Linked DNA regions of Saccharomyces cerevisiae S288C. The protein of the gene in region 1 interacts with the protein of each later gene in a biochemical or structural test. Each region holds a gene or a part of one and is shown on either strand. Other genes may lie near its edges. The genes, in order: TOR1, SCD6, MAF1 and PIB2.

Region 1 (11,444 bases):
AGCTAGATAATGAGATTGCAAAGTTGTTAGTACAACTTTCCAAATCTCAAGATGATGAAATTGGTGATGGTACTACTGGTGTTGTTGTTCTGGCAAGTGCGCTACTTGACCAAGCATTGGAGTTAATTCAAAAGGGTATACATCCAATCAAAATCGCTAATGGATTTGATGAAGCCGCCAAATTAGCCATTTCCAAGTTAGAAGAAACATGTGACGACATTTCTGCGTCAAACGATGAATTGTTCAGGGACTTTTTATTGAGGGCCGCCAAAACTTCTTTGGGCTCCAAAATTGTTTCCAAGGATCATGATAGATTTGCTGAAATGGCTGTGGAAGCCGTCATAAATGTCATGGACAAAGATCGTAAAGACGTGGATTTCGATTTAATCAAAATGCAAGGACGGGTTGGCGGATCTATAAGCGATTCAAAATTGATTAATGGTGTCATTTTGGATAAAGATTTTTCTCATCCACAAATGCCTAAATGTGTTTTACCAAAAGAGGGCTCTGATGGTGTTAAGTTAGCTATATTAACGTGTCCATTTGAACCTCCTAAACCAAAGACCAAGCATAAATTAGACATTTCTTCAGTAGAAGAATACCAAAAATTACAGACTTATGAACAAGATAAGTTCAAAGAAATGATAGACGATGTGAAGAAAGCGGGCGCAGATGTTGTTATATGCCAATGGGGGTTTGACGATGAGGCCAATCATCTACTTCTACAGAATGATTTACCTGCCGTAAGATGGGTAGGTGGCCAAGAACTAGAACACATTGCCATTTCCACAAACGGTCGCATTGTTCCAAGATTTCAAGACTTGTCTAAGGATAAATTAGGTACATGTTCCAGAATTTACGAGCAGGAGTTTGGTACTACTAAGGATCGTATGCTGATTATCGAGCAAAGTAAAGAAACAAAAACTGTAACATGTTTTGTTCGCGGTTCCAATAAAATGATCGTGGATGAAGCTGAACGTGCATTGCATGACTCACTATGTGTGGTACGTAACTTGGTTAAAGACTCACGTGTAGTTTACGGTGGGGGAGCAGCCGAAGTGACTATGTCCCTGGCTGTCTCTGAGGAAGCTGATAAGCAACGTGGTATTGATCAGTATGCATTCCGTGGATTCGCCCAAGCGTTAGACACCATTCCAATGACTTTGGCTGAAAATTCTGGTCTTGATCCAATCGGAACTTTGTCTACATTGAAAAGTAAACAACTGAAAGAAAAGATTTCCAACATTGGTGTCGATTGCTTAGGTTACGGGTCTAATGACATGAAGGAACTATTTGTCGTTGATCCATTTATTGGCAAAAAGCAGCAAATTCTTTTAGCTACTCAATTATGTAGAATGATTTTAAAGATTGATAACGTCATCATTAGTGGTAAAGATGAGTATTGATTTTGTATAAATAAATAATAAAAGATAAGTTTTAATCACATATCCCACAATTTTTTTTCTCAGATCAGCATTTGGGGTTACTTGATTGTACATATACGTGTATATAATCAGTTGTATACGTATATTTAAATGAAGTGAGGGGCGTTTCAGTTATTTGCATTTGTTTTTGTACCTTTTTCCTTATAAGATGAGTCATGACTCAATAATCAAACCATGTTGAAAAGGCTGAAATTTCTAACAATTTCCGGACCATATTCCTCATAATCTTTCTTAGTGTGACAGTAGCCTTTGAATTCGGCTGTTTGTGCCAGCAGCGAGCCACCAAACCAGACAGCGTTTCTCTGCTTCCGATGAGAAATCACGGAAACATCTACACCAGTCGATTTAGTTCCACTTAACAGCTCACTTTGTGCGATTCTGTTATTTACGATAGACTTTAGATCTCTTTGTAAACGACGTCCAAAATCTTTGAACATGGTAGACCCACCTGATAGTACAATATTGTTGTATAAACCTTTACGGACGTCAATAGGGCAAGCCTGGATAGTTTGATCCACTACCGTGGGTAAAGGAGTCAAGAAGTCTGAGGATGCAATTTCTGGATTGAAGAAGATTTCAGGTGCTAAGAATCTTTCGTAACCAATATCTACGACTTTTCTCCTTGTCTTTTCTTGGTTTTCCACCACAAATTGGGCAAATTTAGAAGGATCTTTATCGAATTTGTTAAACTCCTTTACAATATCTGGACAGACGTAACAGTATTCTTGCTTAATCTTTTCGGCAGTTCTCAAGGAAGTGTCTGCTTCACCACGTTCTCTTAGCAAGGATTGGATGAACAATGTGATGTCTCTACCGGCTATTGGAATGTTTTTAATTGCTGAGCCAATGACGTAACCTTCCGCCACTGGGATGACGTGGGTGACACCATCACCAGAATCTATAACAGTACCAGTTAATGATCTATCCGTGACTTTTGAAGAGGTCCATGACGCAGCCAGAGCCAAAACTGCTTGCACAGCAATATATAGACCAGCACAATTAAATGATTCAAAAAAAATCTCCGCCACTTGCTCTCTGTTTTCTGGAGGATTCAGTGGTGGTTCGGTCAATAGGAAAAAATGATCTTCAGGCTCTGTTCTTAAATACTTGAAGATGGAATTTTCCCAGAATCTTTCCATGTGATCCCAATTTTCCACTTGACCGTGTCTGATTGGATAGCTCAAAGAGTAAGAGGGTCCTTGGGATGCTACTAAAGCCTCATTTCCAATATAGAAATCCAAATCTTCTGTACCTCTTTTACCGGATAAATTATTAGACAGCAAACCACCTGTTGCACCATTGAAATTGGTTGCAGAGGTGGAATTTCCAAAGTATGATGCTTCATTACTAACTGCTGAGGGCGCACCAACGCCCGAGGACTTCTTTGTATTTGAAGGTGCAGCTGTGGCTATTGCAGTAGGGAAGACCCAGGAGGGAGAATCATTACCGGCGAAACCGAGCTTGGTCAGCCCGGTACCATTGTCCATGACAACAGCGGGATTGTTTAAGTATGACATTGAATCCTAATTTCTTGCTCAATCGTGAGGCCTTACGGTAGGGCCAATTCTTGATTAAACTACTCTCATATATTTTTGTTTGAAACTTTTGAAAAGGGGTTCTCGCCATTTTGAAGCCGCGGACAGCCGGGTGACTACTGAAAGTCCTTATCGAAGGGTCTTCTTGAGCTTACGTTAAAAAAGAGCCATAGTAGCTTCACGAGAGAGTCATTGGTAAAGTGAAACATACATCAACCGGCTAGCAGGTTTGCATTGATATGGAACCGCATGAGGAGCAGATTTGGAAGAGTAAACTTTTGAAAGCGGCTAACAACGATATGGACATGGATAGAAATGTGCCGTTGGCACCGAATCTGAATGTGAATATGAACATGAAAATGAATGCGAGCAGGAACGGGGATGAATTCGGTCTGACTTCTAGTAGGTTTGATGGAGTGGTGATTGGCAGTAATGGGGATGTAAATTTTAAGCCCATTTTGGAGAAAATTTTCCGCGAATTAACCAGTGATTACAAGGAGGAACGAAAATTGGCCAGTATTTCATTATTTGATCTACTAGTATCCTTGGAACATGAATTGTCGATAGAAGAGTTCCAAGCAGTTTCAAATGACATAAACAATAAGATTTTGGAGCTGGTCCATACAAAAAAAACGAGCACTAGGGTAGGGGCTGTTCTATCCATAGACACTTTGATTTCATTCTACGCATATACTGAAAGGTTGCCTAACGAAACTTCACGACTGGCTGGTTACCTTCGAGGGCTAATACCTTCTAATGATGTAGAGGTCATGAGACTCGCTGCAAAGACTCTGGGCAAGTTAGCCGTTCCAGGAGGTACATATACCTCTGATTTCGTGGAATTTGAGATAAAGTCTTGCTTAGAATGGCTTACTGCCTCCACGGAAAAGAATTCATTCTCGAGTTCGAAGCCAGACCATGCTAAACATGCTGCGCTTCTGATTATAACAGCGTTGGCAGAGAATTGTCCTTATTTACTCTACCAATACTTGAATTCCATACTAGATAACATTTGGAGAGCACTAAGAGACCCACATTTGGTGATCAGAATTGATGCGTCCATTACATTGGCCAAATGTCTTTCCACCCTACGAAATAGGGATCCTCAGTTAACTAGCCAGTGGGTGCAGAGATTGGCTACAAGTTGTGAATACGGATTTCAAGTAAACACATTAGAATGCATCCATGCAAGTTTGTTGGTTTATAAGGAAATCTTGTTTTTGAAGGATCCCTTTTTGAATCAAGTGTTCGACCAAATGTGTCTAAATTGCATAGCTTATGAAAATCATAAAGCGAAAATGATTAGAGAAAAGATTTACCAGATTGTTCCCCTATTAGCATCGTTCAATCCTCAATTATTTGCTGGCAAATATTTGCACCAAATTATGGACAACTATTTAGAGATTTTAACCAATGCTCCAGCAAATAAAATACCACATCTCAAAGATGACAAACCACAGATTTTAATATCGATTGGTGATATTGCATATGAAGTCGGGCCCGATATCGCACCTTATGTGAAACAAATTCTTGATTATATTGAACATGATTTACAGACGAAATTCAAATTCAGAAAGAAATTTGAAAATGAAATTTTCTACTGCATCGGAAGATTGGCAGTTCCCTTGGGCCCCGTTCTAGGTAAATTATTAAACAGAAATATACTGGACCTGATGTTCAAATGCCCTCTTTCCGACTATATGCAGGAAACGTTTCAAATTCTGACTGAGAGAATACCATCACTAGGCCCCAAAATAAATGACGAGTTGCTTAACCTAGTCTGTTCAACCTTATCTGGAACACCATTTATCCAGCCAGGGTCACCAATGGAGATACCATCGTTTTCGAGAGAAAGAGCAAGAGAATGGAGAAATAAAAACATCCTACAGAAAACTGGTGAAAGTAACGATGATAATAATGATATAAAAATCATTATACAAGCTTTTAGAATGTTAAAAAATATCAAAAGCAGATTTTCGTTGGTGGAATTCGTGAGAATTGTTGCACTTTCTTACATTGAGCATACAGATCCCAGAGTAAGGAAACTAGCTGCGTTGACATCTTGTGAAATTTACGTCAAGGATAACATCTGCAAACAAACATCACTACACTCTCTGAACACTGTATCTGAAGTGTTATCAAAGCTTCTAGCCATTACGATTGCGGACCCTTTACAAGATATCCGTTTAGAAGTTTTAAAGAATCTTAATCCATGTTTCGATCCCCAGTTGGCACAACCAGATAATTTGAGACTCTTGTTTACTGCACTGCACGATGAGTCGTTCAATATTCAGTCAGTAGCAATGGAGCTTGTCGGTAGGTTGTCTTCCGTAAACCCTGCATACGTCATCCCATCGATAAGAAAAATACTACTGGAACTGCTAACAAAATTAAAATTCTCAACTTCTTCTCGAGAAAAGGAAGAAACTGCCAGTTTGTTATGTACTCTTATCAGGTCGAGTAAAGATGTTGCGAAACCTTATATCGAACCTCTTTTAAATGTTCTTTTACCAAAATTCCAAGATACCTCTTCAACGGTTGCATCAACTGCACTGAGAACTATAGGTGAGCTATCTGTTGTAGGGGGCGAAGATATGAAGATATATCTTAAGGATTTGTTTCCTTTAATTATCAAAACATTTCAGGATCAATCAAACTCTTTCAAGAGAGAAGCTGCACTTAAGGCCCTTGGTCAACTTGCAGCCTCATCTGGTTACGTGATAGATCCTTTACTCGACTATCCCGAATTATTGGGTATATTGGTGAATATATTGAAGACAGAAAACTCTCAAAATATTAGGAGACAAACAGTCACTTTGATAGGTATACTGGGAGCTATCGACCCATATCGCCAAAAAGAACGTGAGGTTACCTCTACTACCGATATATCTACAGAACAGAACGCCCCGCCTATCGACATTGCTCTTCTCATGCAGGGCATGTCTCCTTCGAATGATGAGTATTATACCACTGTTGTCATTCACTGCCTGCTAAAAATCCTAAAAGATCCATCCCTATCATCTTACCACACTGCCGTGATCCAAGCGATTATGCATATTTTTCAAACCCTTGGTCTAAAATGTGTTTCATTCTTGGACCAGATCATCCCAACTATTTTGGACGTAATGCGTACATGCTCTCAGTCACTATTAGAATTTTACTTCCAACAGCTTTGCTCTTTGATTATTATCGTAAGGCAACACATAAGACCTCATGTCGATTCTATATTCCAGGCTATCAAAGATTTTTCTTCGGTTGCTAAGCTACAAATAACGCTTGTAAGTGTTATTGAAGCAATATCAAAGGCTCTGGAGGGTGAATTCAAAAGATTGGTCCCTCTTACTCTGACCTTGTTCCTTGTAATTTTGGAGAATGACAAGTCTAGTGACAAGGTCCTCTCCAGAAGGGTATTGAGACTGTTAGAATCGTTTGGTCCTAACTTAGAAGGTTATTCGCATTTGATTACACCCAAGATAGTTCAAATGGCAGAATTCACCAGCGGGAACCTACAAAGGTCTGCAATAATTACTATTGGCAAACTGGCCAAGGATGTTGACCTTTTTGAGATGTCCTCAAGAATTGTTCACTCTTTACTTAGGGTACTAAGTTCAACAACGAGTGACGAACTCTCAAAAGTCATTATGAATACTTTAAGTCTACTGCTAATACAAATGGGCACATCCTTTGCTATCTTCATCCCTGTCATTAATGAAGTTTTAATGAAGAAACATATTCAACACACAATATATGATGACTTGACAAACAGAATATTAAACAATGATGTTTTACCCACAAAAATTCTTGAAGCAAATACAACGGATTATAAGCCCGCGGAACAAATGGAGGCAGCAGATGCTGGGGTCGCAAAATTACCTATAAACCAATCAGTTTTGAAAAGTGCATGGAATTCTAGCCAACAAAGAACTAAAGAAGATTGGCAGGAATGGAGCAAACGTCTATCCATTCAATTATTAAAAGAGTCACCCTCCCATGCTCTAAGAGCTTGTTCAAATCTTGCAAGCATGTATTATCCACTAGCCAAAGAACTTTTTAATACCGCATTCGCATGTGTTTGGACCGAACTTTATAGCCAATATCAAGAAGATTTAATTGGGTCATTATGTATAGCCTTATCTTCTCCCTTAAATCCACCAGAAATACATCAAACATTGTTAAACCTGGTAGAATTTATGGAACACGATGACAAGGCATTACCAATACCAACTCAAAGCCTGGGCGAGTATGCTGAAAGATGTCACGCCTATGCCAAAGCGCTACATTATAAAGAGATTAAATTTATTAAAGAGCCTGAGAACTCAACTATTGAATCATTGATCAGCATTAACAACCAGCTGAATCAAACGGATGCTGCAATTGGTATATTAAAGCATGCCCAACAACATCATTCACTTCAATTAAAGGAGACATGGTTTGAAAAATTAGAGCGTTGGGAAGATGCACTACATGCTTATAATGAACGTGAAAAGGCAGGTGATACTTCCGTGAGCGTTACACTCGGTAAGATGAGATCCCTTCATGCCCTTGGCGAATGGGAACAGTTGTCGCAATTGGCAGCTAGAAAGTGGAAAGTTTCGAAGCTACAAACTAAGAAGCTAATAGCTCCCTTGGCAGCTGGTGCTGCGTGGGGGTTGGGAGAGTGGGATATGCTTGAGCAATATATCAGCGTTATGAAACCTAAATCTCCAGATAAGGAATTTTTTGATGCAATTTTATACTTGCACAAGAATGATTACGACAATGCTAGTAAGCATATATTAAACGCCAGAGATTTGCTTGTGACTGAAATTTCCGCGTTGATCAATGAAAGTTATAATAGAGCATATAGCGTTATTGTTAGAACTCAAATAATAACAGAGTTTGAGGAAATCATCAAGTATAAACAATTGCCACCTAATTCCGAGAAAAAACTTCACTATCAAAATCTTTGGACAAAAAGACTGCTGGGCTGCCAAAAAAATGTCGATTTATGGCAAAGAGTGCTTAGAGTAAGATCATTGGTAATAAAGCCCAAGCAAGACCTGCAAATATGGATAAAATTTGCAAATTTGTGCAGAAAATCTGGTAGAATGAGGCTAGCAAATAAGGCATTGAATATGCTACTAGAAGGAGGCAACGATCCTAGTTTACCAAATACGTTCAAAGCTCCTCCCCCAGTTGTTTACGCGCAACTAAAATATATTTGGGCTACAGGAGCTTATAAAGAAGCATTAAACCACTTGATAGGATTTACATCCAGGTTAGCGCATGATCTTGGTTTGGATCCGAATAATATGATCGCGCAAAGTGTCAAACTCTCAAGTGCAAGTACTGCTCCGTATGTTGAGGAATACACAAAATTATTAGCTCGATGTTTTTTAAAGCAAGGTGAGTGGAGAATAGCAACACAACCGAACTGGAGAAACACAAATCCGGATGCAATTCTTGGTTCTTATCTATTGGCTACACATTTCGATAAAAATTGGTACAAGGCATGGCATAATTGGGCCTTAGCTAATTTTGAAGTAATATCCATGGTTCAGGAAGAGACTAAGCTCAACGGAGGTAAGAATGATGATGATGATGACACGGCAGTTAATAATGATAATGTGCGGATTGACGGTAGTATCCTAGGAAGTGGTTCTTTGACTATTAATGGCAACAGATACCCGCTAGAGCTTATTCAAAGACATGTTGTTCCAGCGATCAAGGGCTTTTTTCATTCAATATCTCTATTAGAAACAAGTTGTTTGCAAGACACGTTGAGGTTATTGACTCTTTTATTTAACTTTGGTGGTATTAAAGAAGTCTCACAAGCCATGTATGAAGGCTTCAATTTGATGAAAATAGAGAACTGGCTTGAAGTCTTACCACAGTTGATCTCTCGTATACATCAGCCAGATCCTACGGTGAGTAATTCCCTTTTGTCGTTGCTTTCTGATTTAGGGAAAGCTCATCCACAAGCTCTCGTGTATCCTTTAACTGTCGCGATCAAGTCTGAATCTGTTTCAAGACAAAAAGCGGCTCTTTCAATAATAGAGAAAATTAGGATTCATAGTCCAGTCCTGGTAAACCAGGCAGAATTAGTTAGTCACGAGTTGATCAGAGTAGCCGTTCTATGGCACGAATTATGGTATGAAGGACTGGAAGATGCGAGCCGCCAATTTTTCGTTGAACATAACATAGAAAAAATGTTTTCTACTTTAGAACCTTTACATAAACACTTAGGCAATGAGCCTCAAACGTTAAGTGAGGTATCGTTTCAGAAATCATTTGGTAGAGATTTGAACGATGCCTACGAATGGTTGAATAACTACAAAAAGTCAAAAGACATCAATAATTTGAACCAAGCTTGGGATATTTATTATAACGTCTTCAGAAAAATAACACGTCAAATACCACAGTTACAAACCTTAGACTTACAGCATGTTTCTCCCCAGCTTCTGGCTACTCATGATCTCGAATTGGCTGTTCCTGGGACATATTTCCCAGGAAAACCTACCATTAGAATAGCGAAGTTTGAGCCATTATTTTCTGTGATCTCTTCGAAGCAAAGGCCAAGAAAATTCTCCATCAAGGGTAGCGACGGTAAAGATTATAAATACGTTTTAAAGGGACATGAAGATATAAGACAAGATAGCCTTGTTATGCAATTATTTGGTCTAGTTAACACTTTGTTGAAGAATGATTCAGAGTGTTTCAAGAGACATTTGGATATCCAACAATACCCGGCTATTCCATTGTCGCCTAAATCTGGTTTACTAGGATGGGTACCAAATAGTGACACATTCCACGTTTTGATCAGAGAACACCGTGATGCCAAAAAAATTCCGTTGAACATTGAACATTGGGTTATGTTACAAATGGCCCCCGATTATGAGAATTTGACTCTTTTACAAAAAATTGAAGTATTCACGTACGCTTTAGATAATACAAAAGGCCAAGACCTTTATAAAATATTATGGTTAAAGAGTAGGTCGTCAGAGACATGGCTAGAACGTAGAACAACTTATACGAGATCTTTAGCAGTTATGTCCATGACTGGTTATATTCTGGGACTAGGTGATCGCCATCCAAGCAACCTGATGCTAGATAGAATCACCGGTAAAGTTATCCACATTGATTTCGGCGATTGTTTTGAAGCTGCCATCTTAAGAGAAAAGTATCCAGAAAAAGTGCCATTTAGACTAACTAGGATGTTAACATACGCAATGGAAGTTAGTGGAATTGAAGGCAGTTTCCGAATTACTTGTGAAAATGTCATGAGAGTCTTAAGAGATAATAAAGAATCATTAATGGCGATCTTGGAAGCTTTTGCGCTTGATCCTTTGATCCATTGGGGATTTGATTTACCGCCACAAAAACTTACTGAGCAAACTGGAATTCCTTTGCCGTTGATTAATCCTAGTGAATTATTAAGGAAGGGGGCAATTACTGTCGAAGAAGCGGCAAATATGGAAGCAGAACAACAAAATGAGACCAAAAACGCCAGAGCAATGCTTGTTTTGAGACGTATTACAGATAAATTAACGGGCAATGATATCAAGAGGTTCAATGAATTAGACGTCCCTGAGCAGGTTGATAAACTGATCCAACAAGCCACTTCTATTGAAAGGTTATGTCAACATTATATTGGATGGTGCCCATTCTGGTGACTGCGGTGTCATTTTTCATTTCGTGCTTTGTTTACTATTTATTTTTTTTGTATTACGCATTTGTATACGTGTGCAAGTATTGTGTATTATTATTATTATTATCATTATTTTTGTAATATCTCGTCATTATGTGAAATGAAGGATGATATAAGGTACATAAATTGTGAAATCAACTCCATTTAAAACAACTTTATTGGATAGATGGCACATGGTACTTTTCACAATAGGTATTGGCAATATCAGTCCATTTTGTTATGAGCGGATGTTTTTCTTGCAAGTCAAAGTTTGGATCAAATATGGACTTACTAAGTACTTTGTTAATGCGTAATTCTTTTTGAGCATCAATATATGCCTTACTGAGGTCCTCATCTTCATCACCAAAACGTGTTCGTAGGCCAAGTAAAATCCCCATAATTATGCCAACTTGTTTCCCTAATTTAGCGCCCGTTGGGAAACCATCATTGAAACCCTCTTGCAGCTTTTCTTCTTTAGAACTCACTATTCCGTCCAAGTACCCCCTCTTGCTATGATTCTCTCTTAACTTCACTAAATCTGGAGATCGTTCAGTTTCGACATCACTGTCTGATGCCCATACATCGTCCCAAGTATTCGACATCTCTATATACTATTGTAACACTGTTCCTTTTTTGTTCTCTTCTATCAAAAACCTTTCTCATCGTTATTTTTCACTCTTTTACTTCGCGTATTTCAAAGCAATCAGGAAGTAACTCAAGCGAACAAGTCAATGCTATAAGAGAAGTAAAATAGAGAGACAGCGAGAAATACTGGGGGAAAGTATTGGCAATCACTTG
Region 2 (6,727 bases), on another chromosome or scaffold:
CAGCACAAACCACTACTGATTACAAGTATGCTCCTGTGAGTAACCTTAGCGCAGTACCTACAAACGCAAGAGCAGTTGGTGTTGGTTCCACTTTAAACAATAGTGAGATGTACAAGAGGTTGACTTCAAGATTAAACAAGAAGCATAAATAATAACAAAACAGGTAATTCCGTAATGCTTTGAGATATGTATCATATGTATGTGTTTTTTGTTTAAGAAATTCGAAATAACACTAGGTGGTTTTATTAAGAGGATTATTAAATAAGCTTGATGTTTGATGATTTTGAAGAATTATTTAATCTCTTAAACATATACATACACAGTAGAATTTTTCGAATTATGAAATCGTAATATAACTCTGCTTAAGATCTTGGCTTTTCCTTCTTTTCCTTCCACAAAGCCAACAAGGAGACACCAGAGACCTTAACGACCTTGAATCTAACACCTGGAATATCACCCTTAGCCTTACCCTTTCTACCGAAACCGGCTAGCAAGACTTCGTCATTTTCATCGACAAAGTTCAAACAACCATCGTTTGGAACGAAAGCAGTAACCTTCTTACCGTTCTTGATTAATTGAACTCTAACACACTTTCTGATAGCAGAGTTAGGTTGCTTGGATTCGATACCCAACTTTTCCAAGACAATACCCTTGGCGTGAGAAGAACCACCGAATGGAGAAGACTTGAAGGCAGTACCCAATAATCTCTTCTTATAGTTGTTTTCGGCCCAACGGCTGTTTTAAACGATTAACTTTTGACAAAACATAGTTTCATCAAAAAGATTAATAAATTTGTTAGTAAATGAGGTTCTCGTAGTGAATTCATTATCTGAGATGGCAGAAATTCATTGTAGATTTTCAGTTTCATCACTTGTGGACTTTCTTATTCAAAATTCGCAAAATGGCCTTTCTCCTCCTAAAAGCTGATGAATTCAAATGGCTATAATAAATTAAGTAGCCCTACCCTAGTTTCTTGCAAAATTATTCTCCCTTACTTTTTCAAGCTTCCAACTCATTTCATGGTAGCAATGGCCGATCCTTTCTTCTACTTATTATGAAAATCTTTCAACCATAGTGCAATCTTCTATAATTGTACATACTTGTTTCTTCTGTGGACACGCAACTTTCTAGCGGAGTTCAAACCTCTTGGCTTACCTTTACCCATCTTTTCTTGTAGTTTGTTGTTCTTACCTGCTTCTGGAATCTACAATATTAAACATGTAAGCTTCATAACCTTACCATCACTAATAGTATCTCGATCTTGAAAATTGCGAAAGCGTGGAGACAAGGAGCTCCTACAAACACAGTCATTCCAATGCGGTAGTGCTTAGCAAAACCTCGGCTGCGCAGAAGGAGCTTTGATACATAGAAGCTAGCCCACCTACCTAGGCGCAAAAAACATAGCGGTGGGCGCACGTTGGTGGGCCTGGGAAGAAAAAAATTCCCTCGTCGATAATATAAATATGTATGGGTGTTTGGAGATGTTCGGATGTTACTTTATGCATGTCCTTTTTATTAATATTAATGTTGAAGCAATATCTAATGAAGTATATATAGTTCACAATATTGCTTATGTGAAAGATAGTGGAACATTGAGAATATTCAAGGAAAGAGACAGGAGGATTCGAGAAATGACAACAATTCAGCCTTTTGAACCTGTCGATTTATTCAAAACTAACAATGTCAACCTTGATATCTTAACAGAAAACTTCCCTTTAGAGTTTTATTTTGAATACATGATAATATGGCCAGACCTTTTTTTCAAAAGTTCAGAAATGACTGTTGATCCTACATTTAAGCATAATATCTCTGGTTACATGATGGCAAAAACAGAAGGCAAGACCACGGAGTGGCACACTCATATAACTGCAGTGACAGTAGCTCCAAGATTCCGCCGAATATCGCTAGCTTCGAAGTTATGTAATACTTTGGAGACCATGACCGATGTCATGCCCCATGAAGTCAACTTTATCGATCTTTTCGTCAAGTGCAATAACCAATTGGCCATCAAACTTTACGAAAAATTGGGATACAGTGTCTACAGGAGAGTGGTGGGATATTATAACTCAGCTGAAGATGGGTATCCAGATACCCTGAAAAAAGTAGATGACAATAAAGATGCTTTTGATATGAGAAAAGCTATGGCTAGGGACAGGAACAGAAGCGTACGGCCGGATGGAAGAAGCCATAAATGCTATCCACATGATGTAAGATTTTAAGGTATGTATTACCTCGTCCTCATACTCAGAACATAATAATGAACCTCTGTGCTATTCATATTTTGCGATACGCACTAAAATAATACTATCCAGAGGCGCGGACTATAATACTATTAATTTGATTTTTGTATGTACATACTGAATGATATACTTAATTTACATAGAAACATCATTTTAAAATTCAACGTTGGAAGGAGGTTGCGAAAACTGGTTGGCTGGTCTGCTGTACGAGTCGTTTTGGTTCTGATAGGCGCCACTATCATTTTGGTAGTTATTTCTGTTTTGGTAGTTTCCACGTTGGCCGCCTCTTCCTCTGTTTCCTCTGTTTCCCCTATAATTTCCACGCCCACGACCGAGGCCTCTAGAGTGAAATCTTGGTCTGGCAGAAGCTTGTCCAAAGGTGTCAACGTTCAACATTTTTTCTTCTTGCCATCTCATATTGGTATTAGTTTCAGTAGAAGTGGAGATGGTGTCGAAAAAAGACGATTTTTTATTATAAAACTGCTCATCAGATTCATCCTGCTTGTGAACAGCTGATTCTAATTCTTTTTCTTTTTCCACATCAGTGGAATCACCTTTCGTGAATTTTGCATTATTTGATTGAAAGTCAAAATCTTCATTCGGAATATCGACTTTGAAATTGCGGTTGGATTGAGGAGGGCGATTACTTGATCTATTCTTGTTTCTTTGATATTTTGGCTCATTTTCACCATTTTTACCTCTTTCCCTACTTTGCGAGTTTACATTGGTGTCTTGAGGAGTGCTCTTATCATTCATACTAGCAGTAGCGGTTTCTGTCGAAGTTGGGGTGTAAACACCATATCCAGCGACAGCTGCTGGCACATTGGATTCGGGCTTTGGAACTTGGGGGTTTGTTTGCACGTGTGCTTGAGCTTGAGCCTGGGGTGGAGATTGAGCTTGTTGAGGAGGGAATTGTGAAGCGGGTGGCATCATTTGAGGAACAACCGGCTGTATGTCATTGATGTTAGCATCTAAAATGCTTAAATCCTTGACTTCACTGCCGTTGAACTTTACAGAATTGTATACCGTAGGATTCGGATAAATTTCTTCAGGACCCCAGTTCTTGCGACCTTCTGTACCAAAACAGCGAACTTCTTTCAAAGTCACGGTACCCTTTTCAGAGTCAATATCTTCTAACAGCCCCACATATCTGTTGTCAGTCACAGAGATTAAAGAAATAGTTTTACCGATGTACTGCGACATTGCCTTGCTGCTGTTTTTCGATGAATGCTTCTTCTACGACATCCTCACTATTCGTTTATTGTTCTTTCTGACTGCCTCCACGTTATTCTTTACAATCGCGGGTACAGTTTAATTTTTCCACCGTGTAAGGTGACGGGACTATGGTACTGGACTGAGGAATCATTACATATACGTCAGTAATGGGTATCTTCATAATAAACACCTTTATCCATTTAATATGGAAATCGATTGCACTGTCATTTAAAATAGCGGCATCTATGATACTTAGAGGGCAATTGCATTGATAGAAGTTGTGTCATTTGGTGTTCTCCTCGGATCGAGTTTTAAATCCGATTTTTGCATCTCGGTCCGAGTGACTATTTCAGATAATTGGTAAATATAAGAAGAGCAAGAAGATGTGCAAAAAATAGAGAAAATATGATGCTGCGTAAAAGTACAGACACCCTGGAAGCTAGGCCAAGATTGTTACGAGCATATCATCAATGTTAACTCTAGAGTCTGCATTAACTGGCGCTGTGGCTTCGGCAATGGCCAATATTGCAGTTTATCCGCTGGATTTATCGAAGACGATCATTCAGTCACAAGTATCTCCTTCTTCAAGTGAGGATAGTAACGAAGGTAAAGTTTTGCCCAATAGGAGATATAAGAATGTTGTAGATTGCATGATAAACATATTCAAAGAAAAGGGTATTTTGGGTCTGTATCAAGGTATGACAGTCACTACGGTGGCCACATTTGTCCAGAATTTTGTTTATTTCTTTTGGTACACATTTATCAGAAAGTCCTACATGAAACATAAGCTGTTAGGACTGCAATCACTGAAAAACCGCGATGGTCCTATCACACCTTCTACGATTGAAGAATTGGTACTTGGGGTAGCAGCTGCCAGTATATCGCAACTTTTTACTAGTCCCATGGCTGTGGTAGCTACAAGACAACAAACAGTCCATTCTGCAGAGTCTGCCAAATTTACCAACGTTATTAAGGACATTTACCGTGAAAATAATGGGGACATAACTGCTTTTTGGAAAGGTTTAAGAACAGGTTTAGCATTGACGATAAATCCTTCCATCACATATGCCTCTTTTCAAAGACTTAAAGAAGTTTTTTTCCATGACCATTCCAACGATGCTGGCAGTTTGTCAGCAGTGCAAAATTTCATTTTGGGTGTCCTTTCCAAGATGATTTCGACTCTAGTTACGCAACCCTTGATTGTCGCTAAAGCAATGCTTCAAAGCGCTGGCTCTAAATTCACTACTTTCCAAGAAGCGCTACTATACTTGTACAAAAATGAAGGGTTAAAATCTCTTTGGAAGGGAGTTCTTCCTCAATTGACAAAGGGTGTCATTGTGCAAGGTCTGTTGTTTGCTTTCAGAGGAGAATTGACAAAATCTTTAAAGAGGCTAATATTCTTGTACTCTTCTTTTTTCCTAAAGCACAACGGACAACGCAAGCTGGCTTCCACTTGAGAATCCTTACTATTACTGAAATAAGCACATTGCGTTTAGAATCTTTACATATCAAATTTAAAATTTATATAAACAATGGAGATTCACTTTTTTAACCTTACGCCATTTCGTATCTGTCACCAACAGTATGGAAAGTAGTCAAATATTTGTTAATGGCATTGAACTCTTGATCGGTAAGTTTGGTTTTCTGTTCATCAAAGTTTTCATTAACCTTGGAAATAGAAGAGCCACTTGGAATTGGGATAAATTTGGCGCCACTGTATTCCGGAACTTTGTTCCAGTGCTTAACCCATCCCAAAGCCAGTTGTGCAAGAGTAATGGAGTTGTTTTGTGGGCGCTTGTCGACTATTTCTTCCTGTAGAAACCTGACCAAGGTCAGGTTTTTTTTCAAAGACTCGTCGCTAAATCTCTTTAACGACTTTCTAAAGTCACCCTCAGGGATATCAGCGTTTGACTTCAATTGACCTGTCAACAATCCTCTGCCCAGTGGGGAGTAGCAGATGATGGACAACCCCAATTCAGCACATGTTTTAGCAATTCCGTTGTGTAAAATGTCATTACTGAACAAAGAAAGTTCCACTTCAACGCAGGTCAAAAACTTTCCCCAATCCTTGTGAATAGCTCTAATTTGCTCTTCATTAACTTCACTTAATGAAATACCGCCAATAACGCCTTCGGAGATCATCTCAGCAAGCGCTTCGAACGATTCGTAGGGGTAGACCTCTCCTTTCGTGCATAGGGAAGTGTCGATTCTTGCGACTTCGAAGATGTCGATGTAGCCACCAATAGCACTAACTGAATTCTTTACGCTTTGTACAACATCATCGTGACTGCCTCTGGGGGTTAAGGTAGCATTGTCTGCACCACCTTTACAACTGATAACCACATCCTTTCTCAAATCTGGGTATTTCGCAAAGAAGTCGTGAACATACGACAAATTAATAAAATCGGGACCATAGAATTCACCAACGTTGAAAAAGGCCTTGTGCCCACGTTCTCTGGATAACTCAACCACTCTGTGCATGGCCTCGAAAGCCTGCGACTGAGGGATAGGCTCGGCTCTCCAAGTCAAACTCATTAAACCATAGCCAGTATCTAACTTGTGGATGTTGTTTTTCAAATCGGCGACAGACATTTTATTTTTACTTTTTTTGGTGTATATTTTAGTTAATATGTACCTGTTTTTCTATTCTACATAACATAGAAAATGGCAAGGAAAATAATTTTAAGAGAGAGTCCTGAGATGAAGTAAAAAATTTGGTAAATTGACAACCCCTTATATAATAAATGCCTATTCTACGGTTCAATAGACACTCTATTCTTTGAGTAATTTTGAGGGAGAGCAGCAATGATTAACTTAGTACCGTTCTACCAAGTACGCCCTTGATTACCTCATTAACGAACAAAAACGCAGATCCCTTCCTAAGGCGGCCGAGACGGCCGCTTCATCCGTCTCGGCCGGGTGTCATTCTTCTAATATATTTGGTAAAGGACTTGGGAGATGCGCAAAAGGGAGATAGTTGCGCTTTTTTTTTGTCTAACAACTAACGGGTAAAAATGTGGACAGCACGAGGAGTAGTTTAAGAAATAACTTTAAAAAAAAATATTGGCAAAGCAGATATGCAAGAAGTTACGGGTAAGGCTTCTAGTAGTCGTGCATGTGTTGATCCCCTACGTTGATACTATCTATGTGTGCAAACACCAGCTTTACAAACAAAAATTTCATATAGTAGTGTATTTTATTTATCTTATGTACAAAATCTATAGTAGAGTTCACTACATTTTCTTTTCATTGCTAAAAAAGCAGTTTCGTGC
Region 3 (7,344 bases), on another chromosome or scaffold:
CCTTGCAATAACCGGGTCAATTGTTCTCTTTCTATTGGGCACACATATAATACCCAGCAAGTCAGCATCGGAATCTAGAGCACATTCTGCGGCCTCTGTGCTCTGCAAGCCGCAAACTTTCACCAATGGACCAGAACTACCTGTGAAATTAATAACAGACATACTCCAAGCTGCCTTTGTGTGCTTAATCACGTATACTCACGTGCTCAATAGTCACCAATGCCCTCCCTCTTGGCCCTCTCCTTTTCTTTTTTCGACCGAATTCTTAATCGGCAAAAAAAGAAAAGCTCCGGATCAAGATTGTACGTAAGGTGACAAGCTATTTTTCAATAAAGAATATCTTCCACTACTGCCATCTGGCGTCATAACTGCAAAGTACACATATATTACGATGCTGTTCTATTAAATGCTTCCTATATTATATATATAGTAATGTCGTTAACCGTTGATTTTTACTGATTGGTCTCTGCCGTGCGGGTGAGCGGCGCGTCCAGACGGGCGGGTGCACGTTTCTTTTTCTGACCATTTCCCTGTCAGCTCTTTTAGATCGGGGCTGCCGTTTGAAAAGTTTTATCATCGCCAGACATGCCATAAGGAATATCTCCACCGCCTCTAACTGTCCCTAACTCGGTCTCTTTCTTATAACTACCATTACTCAGTGTTGAGAGATTGGTAGAAATATACGCGTATACGTTCATTCAAGACTTATTTTCAGCCAGTAATATTCCCTACTCCTCTTCCGTTTTCAGAATAGAGATGGACCAGCCAAGGACCCATTCAGGACCCACGACGGCCAGCAATCCTGCCCCCAGCTCCACCAACTCGTCATCTGCTCCCAGCGCGACTAATTCAAAGCAGGAAAGATCCTCTTCGTCACTGTCCAAACCTTCGTCAGTGGTTCCTTCAAAGGATTCACCAGATGGTGACGCTATTGCTAAGACTCAAGCAGCCGCTTTAAAAAACGACATGAAATCTGGTGATACCAGTACATTAGATGGGTCATCTCAAAATATAATTCCAAACAGAGCCTCAATGCAAAAATATATTGACCAGTCATCAGATCTGCTGTCGAGGAGCTCCGGCGTAATAACGCCCTCCATGTCTTTGAATGCAAGCACTAACGCCACTAACAACGATAGCAGTGGCAATTCAGCTAATAGTAGTGATTTGAAGATCCCTATAGACAGGGACAATACTATATTCAAGACGTTCGACACCAAGACTGGTCAATTCTTGAAAAACGATGATAATGAAGAAGAAATAAGGAGGAACAATAAAGTTGATTCGATACCCCCAAAGAATATTTATACTAATATCAACAATCCATCTCCCTCCCCACCACCGTCGTCAAAGCAACCACCGTCTGCATCCGCGCCGCAATTGCCACCAGCAACGGAACCACACAAAGAACAAGCAGCACAACAACAGCCACCAGGAAATGCTTCTAACTTTTTAAGGATCTTTTCAAATAAAAAAATGAGGTCGCATTCCGTACCCACTATTTTGCATTCTTCTTTAAGAAAATTATCATCCCACAATCAATACTATCGTAATCAAAATATTCTTTTAAATCATCCAACTCCTTCCGGCATATCAAAGAAAAAATTTTCTAGAAACCATCATCAACCATATTTGCATTCTAATAATCCTCTCAGTTCAAACCCTCTTTCATTAAAGCGCGCAATTTTTTTAAATCAACAAATATCAGGTAACGCAAGCACTAACGCTAATAATGACAACATTAATAATTCCACTGCCACTTCAATGACAAATCAAAGCTTCCTATCAAGCTCAAACTTTGACTTAACTTTGGAAGATAGAATAAACTACATAAAGGCTACTCCAACGCCTGTTCCATTTCCTCCTATAAATTTGCAGGGCTTAAAAGAGATTGACTTACAGGAAATTCTGAAAAACCCACAACTAAGACATGATATAATATTCGACCCGCTACTACAATTCAGGCCAAATCTTGATGGCGAAAGAGGGAATAAAAAAAGACAATTGGCGAATATCTATTGGAATGATGTTCAAAATGAAATTTATGTTTACTCTAAGAGGCCTGAAATATTCCAATATAACAGGTCAAGACTAGTCCCACTTTTTGACACTTTAAGGGATGTATTGTTAACGATAGTCCCACAAAAAGAGTCTCCGATGATAAATAATGTACTGGACACAGAATTGAACATTCAAGAACTATTGAAAGGTTCTCTGATAATGTCTAACTTGTCAGGCTGGTTGGCTGATTTATTTAAACATCATTGTGCCCCCATGAGGGACCCATGGGTGGATAAAATGAGCAACAAATTTAAAGAAGCTGAAAGAGACTCTTCTTTAACAAGGTTAATAGAAGGTTTAAGGTTGGTTTTTCAAATTTTGGAAACAATGAAATTGGATATTGCCAATCATCAAATAAGAATACTAAGGCCAGCTCTGTTAAGTAATGCTGTAGAATTTGAGAAACAGTATTTCAACACTCTTATAGCCTCTAAAAGGGTGAATTTAAATACTTCCCTACTTTGGTTTGATAAAAAATTCAACGAAAATGTTACCGCTGGCCTTGTTAGAAATCCAAGTTCTATCACTATCCCTGATGTCTACAATATTTGCATTAGAAGTATAATTAACCTATTGTCATGTAGGAAGATGGTGAGAGAGTACCCAACTCCGCTTTCTTTTGATCATGCAAGATTGATCCTTTTGCGTGCCGATATACGTCAAATTGTTTGTATTTTAGTTTGCCGTTTACTTTTCCAACAATTGGTGGCCAACGATCCTTCAATGGATAAAGCTACAAAGGAATATGTTATTCATACATACTCAACTAAAAGGCTGAAGAATGAAATTATCAGCATTATAACAGATGAACACGGCAATTGTAGGTGGACTAAAAACACAATGTCTATTGCTGTTCATCTTTGCAAAGTTATTGACGATCTTCACAGGGAGTACGACAACAATGGTAGTTGTGAACAAGCCAGAAGGCCTCAATTGCCTTCATTAGACAACTCAAAAATAACCTTTGCTAAATCTTGGTTATCTAAGCAAACTCAACCCCTCAGTGAAGTTTATGGTGTCCTAGAAAATAGAGTATTCAAATCACTAGAGGACGCTATCTTCAACAGGTCCGAGTGCACAATTGATGGACGCGTTAAACAAGACTTTGTGTACCTCTACAACACAAACAATGGCAACGTAGGTAGCACTAACACTTTGAGTACTACTACAGATACTGCTAGCGTTAAAATCAGCCCGTCTTTGATGTCTCCTTCTAAAACCTCCACCACCACACCTACTGGCAATGCGATTGCATCCAGAGGTTTATTCGCAGCAACAGAGCTGGAGGAATTCGAGAATGTTTATCGCCACTTATATGCATTAATCAACCTTCATTGGTCCGTATTCGGTCCTCATTATATCGAAATGTTAGGAGATAAAGTTAATAAAAAAGGAATATAACTATTATCGGTAATGGAGGAAAAAAAAATTTTTTTACCATTTCTTTATGTAACTTCATATATCATTTTTAAAGCGTACATTTCTTATAATTTCACTTCTTAAATGCAGTCACATATTTACTGCTATCAGACAAAGTAAAGCGTCGCTAATTACTTGCCTCCACGAGTTGCTTGTCAATCAGGGGCGCTTCATCTCGCCAGCGAAAGCGCGTTGTCCATCTTATTTAACAAGAGAAAAAAAAGATAATTCAACTTAAAAAGAACGTGCTATCAGCTATATAAAATGTAGACACATTATGTATCAGTGTTTCTTTAGCAATGCGAAAAATATAGGCTTAGTGTCATTTACTTAAAGTTTAGAAACTCTGCACACTTCACCAAGAACAAGTTTAACCGCTCATTACTCCAAACGGATTTTTTTGCCTAAAGAATCACGACAATGAAAGTATGTTATCACTCTAAAACTGCCATGCTCTTTATTCGAAATTACTAACATTGTACCTGAACCCTCCTTTTCTTCCTTAGTTTATTGATGAGCTAGATATAGAGAGAGTGAATCAAACTCTCAATTTCGAGACAAATGACTGTAAAATCGTGGGCAGTTGCGATATTTTCACAACAAAGGCGGTTGCATCAGATAGAAAATTATATAAAACTATTGATCAGCATTTGGATACTATTTTACAGGAAAATGAGAATTACAATGCTACCCTTCAGCAACAGCTAGCTGCTCCCGAAACAAACCAATCACCCTGCTCGTCGCCATTTTATTCTAATAGGAGGGATAGCAACTCTTTTTGGGAGCAAAAGAGAAGAATATCTTTTAGTGAATACAATAGCAATAATAACACTAACAACAGTAATGGCAATAGCAGTAATAACAATAACTATTCTGGACCTAATGGTTCTTCTCCAGCAACTTTTCCCAAAAGTGCCAAGCTAAATGACCAAAATTTAAAAGAATTAGTCTCGAATTACGATTCTGGCTCTATGAGCTCATCGTCTCTTGATTCTTCTTCTAAGAATGATGAGAGGATAAGAAGAAGGAGCAGTAGCAGTATTAGCAGTTTCAAAAGTGGTAAATCATCGAACAATAATTACAGTTCTGGTACAGCAACCAACAATGTTAACAAAAGAAGAAAATCTTCGATAAACGAAAGGCCAAGCAATTTAAGTTTGGGTCCGTTTGGTCCCATAAACGAACCGTCAAGCCGCAAAATATTTGCTTATCTGATTGCTATCCTCAACGCTTCTTATCCTGACCATGATTTTTCATCGGTTGAGCCAACGGATTTTGTCAAAACATCATTGAAAACTTTTATTTCCAAATTTGAAAACACCTTATATTCTCTTGGTAGACAACCAGAGGAATGGGTCTGGGAGGTAATTAATTCTCACATGACTCTTTCTGATTGCGTCCTTTTTCAATATTCACCTTCAAACTCTTTTTTGGAAGATGAGCCTGGCTATCTTTGGAATCTTATAGGTTTTCTTTACAACAGGAAAAGGAAAAGAGTGGCTTACCTTTACTTGATTTGCTCGCGTCTAAATTCGAGTACAGGCGAAGTGGAAGATGCCTTGGCAAAAAAACCTCAGGGAAAGCTTATAATAGATGATGGCTCAAATGAATACGAAGGAGAATACGATTTCACTTATGATGAGAATGTAATAGATGATAAATCAGATCAAGAAGAATCCCTACAGTAGTTTTAAACTTTAATTTGTGAATTTTCCTTGTCTTACACCTATAATCGTTAAAAACAGTCCCTTTATGTCTACTATTGTAAGTTTCTATTTTTAAAAAAATACCCTTTTCAACTATGTACCTTTATGACAATATTATATTTACTAATTGAACACTTTAGCGAGGATTGAATAATGTGCGCTACTATATAAAAAGACTGCCTTCATCATATATTACTGCAAAGCTCTTAGTTTCTTTCGAATACGGAACTTCAATCAGGCTGTTTCTATTCCTCGCTTAGTAATTTGATATGCAATTTGACCAGGCTTAGCGAATGTGGAATATACCACTTTCATTGTCCTCTTAACTTGCCAGAAGCTTGCCGAATCACCTCCCTTATAAAGATGAGCTTCACCTCTTTGAATTATTGTTGAAGCCTTGAAAGATTTTTGAAGTAATATTCGTGTTGAAACGTGATTGGACCAAGTCAAACCGAGATTGGGGACACGATAGTCAAATTTCCGTTTCTTACTTTGTCGACTGATAGGACTTGATGAATTTCGCTCAACGGTTTTATTCTCAATTATGGGTGGTTTCTTTTTTGAAAAAAAATCATAATTCCGGTCATTTACAGTGCTCATAACTCTCTCGATTAGCATATAATCTTCATCGTCTGATAGAATTTCATCGTTATTGGAACTTGCTCCAAGCAGCGAATTCATCTGCCGATAAAGAATGGTTGAGTTCTTCCAGCCAACTAGCCACCCTAGCTGATAATCATAATCAGTTACATATGTCCTATGTGCCACTGGACTGTTAGCCAGTGGTTTATCCCCAACTTGATTAGCCACCACAACGGATAATGAATAATCGTGGGCCAGTATTTGGAGCTTCTCTGCCATCCTATCCAGATAGTTTTTATTTTCTTGGGATTCTCTGAAGGACTTGTTCTGAAGCTCCACCCTCAAATGATGAGAAATCGAATCTATTATCACCAATTTTATTGAACCCTTAGATCTCTCTAATAAAATAGGCAACTGAACATTGATTATGTGTTCCTGATTTATTAGGTCGTTACAGCTGACGGTGAAAATATTTGATTGTGTAATACCTAGTTTTTCATAAGCCGGCCTAGACGATAGCATACTTTCCAATCTCTGAGTTGGTAAATCGCCCTCAGTGGTAATATATACACATTTGCCGCCAAGCCCTCCCGCAGGTTCGGAAAGTTGGACACTTAACGCCAACTGCATAAGTAATTGAGATTTACCAGTAGAGCTCTCTCCGAATATTTCTGTAATGCCATGCGTGAATATGCCTCCACCTAATAATTCATCCATAGCTACATCAGCAGTCGTGAAACACTCAGGACCGTTATCTGGGCTGATAGAGTTTTTTTCACAGATTTCTAAGTACTTTTCATTATATTCATGAACAAGCAATTGCTGAAATCTGAAAACCTCATTTATCGACCTTTGTATTAGCCTTGCCAATTCCTTCGGAGTGAGTGTTAAAAAATCTACGACGCAGACACCATTTTGCCTTACTGCATCCAAAAGATATGAAAATTCTTCATCATAAAGGAGTTTACTTTCCGGTAATTCATCGTAAAGGTCCATATACGTATTGTCAAATTTTATTGATAAGGCCCTAGGCATGAATTTACACACTTTGAAAAATGGTGAATTCCCAGTGGTTGTTCATCATTTTCATTTTTTGAATTCAACGCGAAAAAGCCGAAGATTAACCGGCATCTGAATTCTCATGTTACTTAGAGGATAATGTGTGAGAAGAAATAGGTAAAGGAAGAATATATTTATAATATATAGGCAATTAGACTAATCAAAATCACCGTCCGTATAAATCGTTGAATGGCTTTTCCGTGGACCGAGTCGAAAGCGTTCCGATGAATTGACTGTTCTGGACGTCGATACTACCAGCTCTCAAACCTAAATCAATAGTATGTTCCTACTATAATACACAACTCGGAATAATCGCGACTTTCAAAGAAACGAAAACTTCTGTACTTCTTTTTTTTTTCAGCACTCTTATAACTATTTTCTATACCGCAAGTCATGCGATAATAAATTCATTAAACGAAAAATCACTTACTCACTTTCGCTCTTGCCGGCGCGTTATTAACATCAAAGGAAGAAGATTCAACAGTCGGAGAATGCTGCTCGTTGCGATTACTCTGAC
Region 4 (4,072 bases), on another chromosome or scaffold:
AGTCTGGAATCTATCGTTCAGTTGCAAAATCTTGTCTCTGATATGTAGGTATTTGGCCATACGGTCAGCCTGCTTGGATCCTTCTTGGTCTATGTTTGCCATTATCTGTATGAATTCATTGAACTGCAATCGCAACGGCAGAATTTCATCGCGTGCTTCGTTGATCTGCTTACACACTTTGTCCCTGGTTTCATTCTCGTTCTTAGCCAATATCACTTGTAAATCATCTAGCTTGACGCCTGCCGGTATAATCGAGTCCATTCCGGTTGTCTTTACTGCTGTTGTGTCCGTTTTGCGCTGCCTAATTGAAGAAGTCTTGGTGACTGTTTCTGTTGTTCTCTTTAAAATTTCGCTCGGCGCCATACCGAAAATCCTCAGGAAAGTGTTAGTGTTATATATTATATTATATTATATCATATTATATTAAGTTTATTGTATACATAATGGTCATACATCAATAGTGTACATCCTCTCTTCGCTTGTCTCGCAAAAAATGTTCATCAGAAACTACTCCAATTCCAGTTTGCAGGCACAGAGCCGATAACACTGCCCAAAACATCATTACCTTCTTCTTGTTCTCCCCCCGTATTCTCATTATCTGCTTCTTCGTCGTTCGACTTCACCTGGATGGGCGTTGTTGTGTCTCGATCAACCGTGGCATGCTCTTGGGACGAACCGCCCTTCTTTGGTCTGAAAAGAGCGTTCATCTGCCTATTCTTGTAGTAATTGCGTAATTTCTTCCTATTGTCATTATCGTCATCTTCGCCCTCCTCAACGTTTATGTTATCCTCGTTCGTGTTTGCGTTATGGTTCGTGGTTGAAAGGTTCTCGTACTCGACCAGACAGTCATCGCATATTTTACAGAGAGTGCCACCGCCATTTATGCCACCGTTGTTTAGTTCGTTGATCATTATAAAATTTGCCTGCGAGTCCAGGTACAGCCAATGGCGCAAATGGTCTTGACAAAAGATGTCCCCGCAATGCCTGCAATGATGTTTCCTTTCCCACAGGGTAAAAGGCTTATGGCAGTAACGACAAGAATTCCTCTTACTGTCCGGAATCCAGTGGTCCTTAGTGGGCGGGTTTACTCTGGCAGAGTTTCTGTTTGAAATAGTTGGTATTAAGTTGATTCTGTCGCTGTTCGGAATAGAATTCGGGAACAAGTACGAGGATATTTTGTTTTTGTAGCTTTCCAAGATTGACGATGTGTTGGATTGTACGCTGGATTGAGAAGATATGATCCGTAGGTTGTTCGCATTCTGAACGCTAGCGGATTGCGACTTGCTTGGATTAAAGCCATGTTCCAGGTTAGATGCCTTCTTGTAGTAAGACGACAATGTTGCATTCAACAGATCGTCATTAGTTATGTTTGTCTCTGAAACTTTCCTCAGCACGGCGGGGATGTATAGCGGTTTTTTAGGGTTACTGATCTGTCTTACATTTGATTTATGTTTATTGGAATTAAAATTCAGATTAGTGCTCGAAGCAGGCTGCGGTAAAAATTCCAGCGAGGGTTTCCTTAGCATCTGCTGATGCGGCGGTTTCGCCGCATGATTCACCGAATCAATAATGACGTTCGTGTTGCCAAACCGCAGTTGGGACATCGAGCTAGAATTCGTTGTAGTCAGCTTGTCGACAATATTTTCCACCTTCGACGTCGACGATGACGACACTGAAGACGTGGACGAAGATGAAGACTCTTTCGCCTTGTTTTCTTTACTCAACCTCAAATTAGAACTAGCATTCATTTTGAACGACGACAACTTGCGTAACGCCTGCGTGGTTAGATTCTTTTGTCGAACCTCGTCATCGTCATCGGCATCATCTTCTAACTCATTGAACACAGTTTTGCTCTTTGTATTCTTGCCCCTGCTAACATCCACCACGCTATTGGTGGGATCTAGTTCAGGGTTCGATCTTTGGTCATCCGTGAATGGCAACGTCTTGCCGATCTCCTTACTAGCAGAAGCCTTCCTACCATCTATCTGCCCTTCACCGAGCTTGCTACTGTGGCTGCTGCGAACATTCTCCTCAGCAGAGTTCTTCCTCAATATGGACACCATCGCCGGAGATTGGATCTGCTGCTTTCTGTCAACAAACCCAGTGCCTGCCCCTGTTGAGCTCTCTTGCTGCAACTGCTGCTGACGATGTTGATTTACCATCGATTTCAATGAGATGCTGCTCAAAATACTCTGTTCGGAATGCGTTGACGCCCTGGGCGCTATCTTCTTCTTTTCAAACGTGATGGGAGATGTCACGGTGTCAGCACCGCTTTCCTCATCACCTTTCCTGCCACGGTAGTCATGGTTCCTTGGTCCCAGGGGAACTCCTCTGCCGTCTCGCTCATCACCGTCCTCCTCCTCTTCCTTGATCGCGGGCGTTTTGGACACACTATGCAACGCAGTCATTCTGGTCTCCACTACAACTGTGCTGCCCAGTCCTCCTCACTGGCGCTTCGTACCTATTCCAGGTCTCAATAGTCATATCATAAGCTTTCTTTTACTTCTCTTCGCCTCTGCTAAATGGTCACCATCGACGGTTGCTTTTTCGCGCTGGTCGAGAATTGACAAAATAAGACACGAACAAAAGAGCAAGTCTGAAAGAAAGAAAAGCAGCAAAAGCACGGTCTAATTCAACGTGACATAGCATCCGCAATCGCATTCACAGCCGTAAATCCTAACTACCATTCGTCATTATCACAGCTGCCATGGGATCCGACCGGTCGTGTGTTTTGTCTGTGTTTCAGACCATCCTCAAGCTCGTCATCTTCGTGGCGATTTTTGGGGCTGCCATATCATCACGTTTGTTTGCAGTCATCAAATTTGAGTCTATTATCCATGAATTCGACCCCTGGTTCAATTATAGGGCTACCAAATATCTCGTCAACAATTCGTTTTACAAGTTTTTGAACTGGTTTGACGACCGTACCTGGTACCCCCTCGGAAGGGTTACTGGAGGGACTTTATATCCTGGTTTGATGACGACTAGTGCGTTCATCTGGCACGCCCTGCGCAACTGGTTGGGCTTGCCCATTGACATCAGAAACGTTTGTGTGCTATTTGCGCCACTATTTTCTGGGGTCACCGCCTGGGCGACTTACGAATTTACGAAAGAGATTAAAGATGCCAGCGCTGGGCTTTTGGCTGCTGGTTTTATAGCCATTGTCCCCGGTTATATATCTAGATCAGTGGCGGGGTCCTACGATAATGAGGCCATTGCCATTACACTATTAATGGTCACTTTCATGTTTTGGATTAAGGCCCAAAAGACTGGCTCTATCATGCACGCAACGTGTGCAGCTTTATTCTACTTCTACATGGTGTCGGCTTGGGGTGGATACGTGTTCATCACCAACTTGATCCCACTCCATGTCTTTTTGCTGATTTTGATGGGCAGATATTCGTCCAAACTGTATTCTGCCTACACCACTTGGTACGCTATTGGAACTGTTGCATCCATGCAGATCCCATTTGTCGGTTTCCTACCTATCAGGTCTAACGACCACATGGCCGCATTGGGTGTTTTCGGTTTGATTCAGATTGTCGCCTTCGGTGACTTCGTGAAGGGCCAAATCAGCACAGCTAAGTTTAAAGTCATCATGATGGTTTCTCTGTTTTTGATCTTGGTCCTTGGTGTGGTCGGACTTTCTGCCTTGACCTATATGGGGTTGATTGCCCCTTGGACTGGTAGATTTTATTCGTTATGGGATACCAACTACGCAAAGATCCACATTCCTATCATTGCCTCCGTTTCCGAACATCAACCCGTTTCGTGGCCCGCTTTCTTCTTTGATACCCACTTTTTGATCTGGCTATTCCCCGCCGGTGTATTCCTACTATTCCTCGACTTGAAAGACGAGCACGTTTTTGTCATCGCTTACTCCGTTCTGTGTTCGTACTTTGCCGGTGTTATGGTTAGATTGATGTTGACTTTGACACCAGTCATCTGTGTGTCCGCCGCCGTCGCATTGTCCAAGATATTTGACATCTACCTGGATTTCAAGACAAGTGACCGCAAATACGCCATCAAACCTGCGGCACTACTGGCCAAATTGATTGTTTCCGGATCATTC

Evidence for each region.
Region 2: of the proteins of TOR1 (region 1) and SCD6, one has a biochemical effect on the other in vitro, tested with the Saccharomyces cerevisiae proteins (one study listed by BioGRID).
Region 3: of the proteins of TOR1 (region 1) and MAF1, one has a biochemical effect on the other in vitro, tested with the Saccharomyces cerevisiae proteins (one study listed by BioGRID).
Region 4: the proteins of TOR1 (region 1) and PIB2 form a complex in vitro, tested with the Saccharomyces cerevisiae proteins (3 studies listed by BioGRID).

The regions. Positions count from the first base shown.
Region 1 is NC_001142.9:556,197-567,640, forward strand, and holds TOR1 (phosphatidylinositol kinase-related protein kinase TOR1), read left to right. Parts: upstream 1-3,219; coding exon 3,220-10,632; downstream 10,633-11,444. Other genes in the region: chaperonin-containing T-complex subunit CCT5, read left to right, coding at 1-1,406; ARP3 (actin-related protein 3), read right to left, coding at 1,613-2,962; YAE1 (Yae1p), read right to left, coding at 10,823-11,248.
Region 2 is NC_001148.4:789,403-796,129, reverse strand, and holds SCD6 (Scd6p), read right to left. Parts: upstream 3,444-6,727; coding exon 2,394-3,443; downstream 1-2,393. Other genes in the region: transcription factor SPN1, read left to right, coding at 1-152; 40S ribosomal protein uS12 RPS23B, read right to left, coding at 363-735, 1,101-1,165; peptide alpha-N-acetyltransferase complex B subunit NAT3, read left to right, coding at 1,632-2,219; ANT1 (Ant1p), read left to right, coding at 3,926-4,912; YPR127W (pyridoxine 4-dehydrogenase), read right to left, coding at 5,010-6,047.
Region 3 is NC_001136.10:454,660-462,003, reverse strand, and holds MAF1 (RNA polymerase III-inhibiting protein MAF1), read left to right. Parts: upstream 1-3,900; coding exon 3,901-3,906; intron 3,907-3,986; coding exon 3,987-5,168; downstream 5,169-7,344. Other genes in the region: phosphoribosylanthranilate isomerase TRP1, read right to left, coding at 1-162; SOK1 (Sok1p), read left to right, coding at 757-3,462; putative DNA-dependent ATPase RAD57, read right to left, coding at 5,421-6,803; YDR003W-A (uncharacterized protein), read right to left, coding at 7,100-7,222; RCR2 (Rcr2p), read right to left, coding at 7,250-7,344. UniProt on the Saccharomyces cerevisiae protein: Mediator of diverse signals that repress RNA polymerase III transcription. Inhibits the de novo assembly of TFIIIB onto DNA.
Region 4 is NC_001139.9:449,697-453,768, forward strand, and holds PIB2 (Pib2p), read right to left. Parts: upstream 2,409-4,072; coding exon 501-2,408; downstream 1-500. Other genes in the region: PGD1 (Pgd1p), read right to left, coding at 1-261; dolichyl-diphosphooligosaccharide--protein glycosyltransferase subunit STT3, read left to right, coding at 2,708-4,072. UniProt on the Saccharomyces cerevisiae protein: Functions as an intracellular glutamine sensor that directly activates the TORC1 signaling pathway, to promote cell growth when glutamine is available. May play a role in repressing NPR1 activity independently of TORC1 signaling.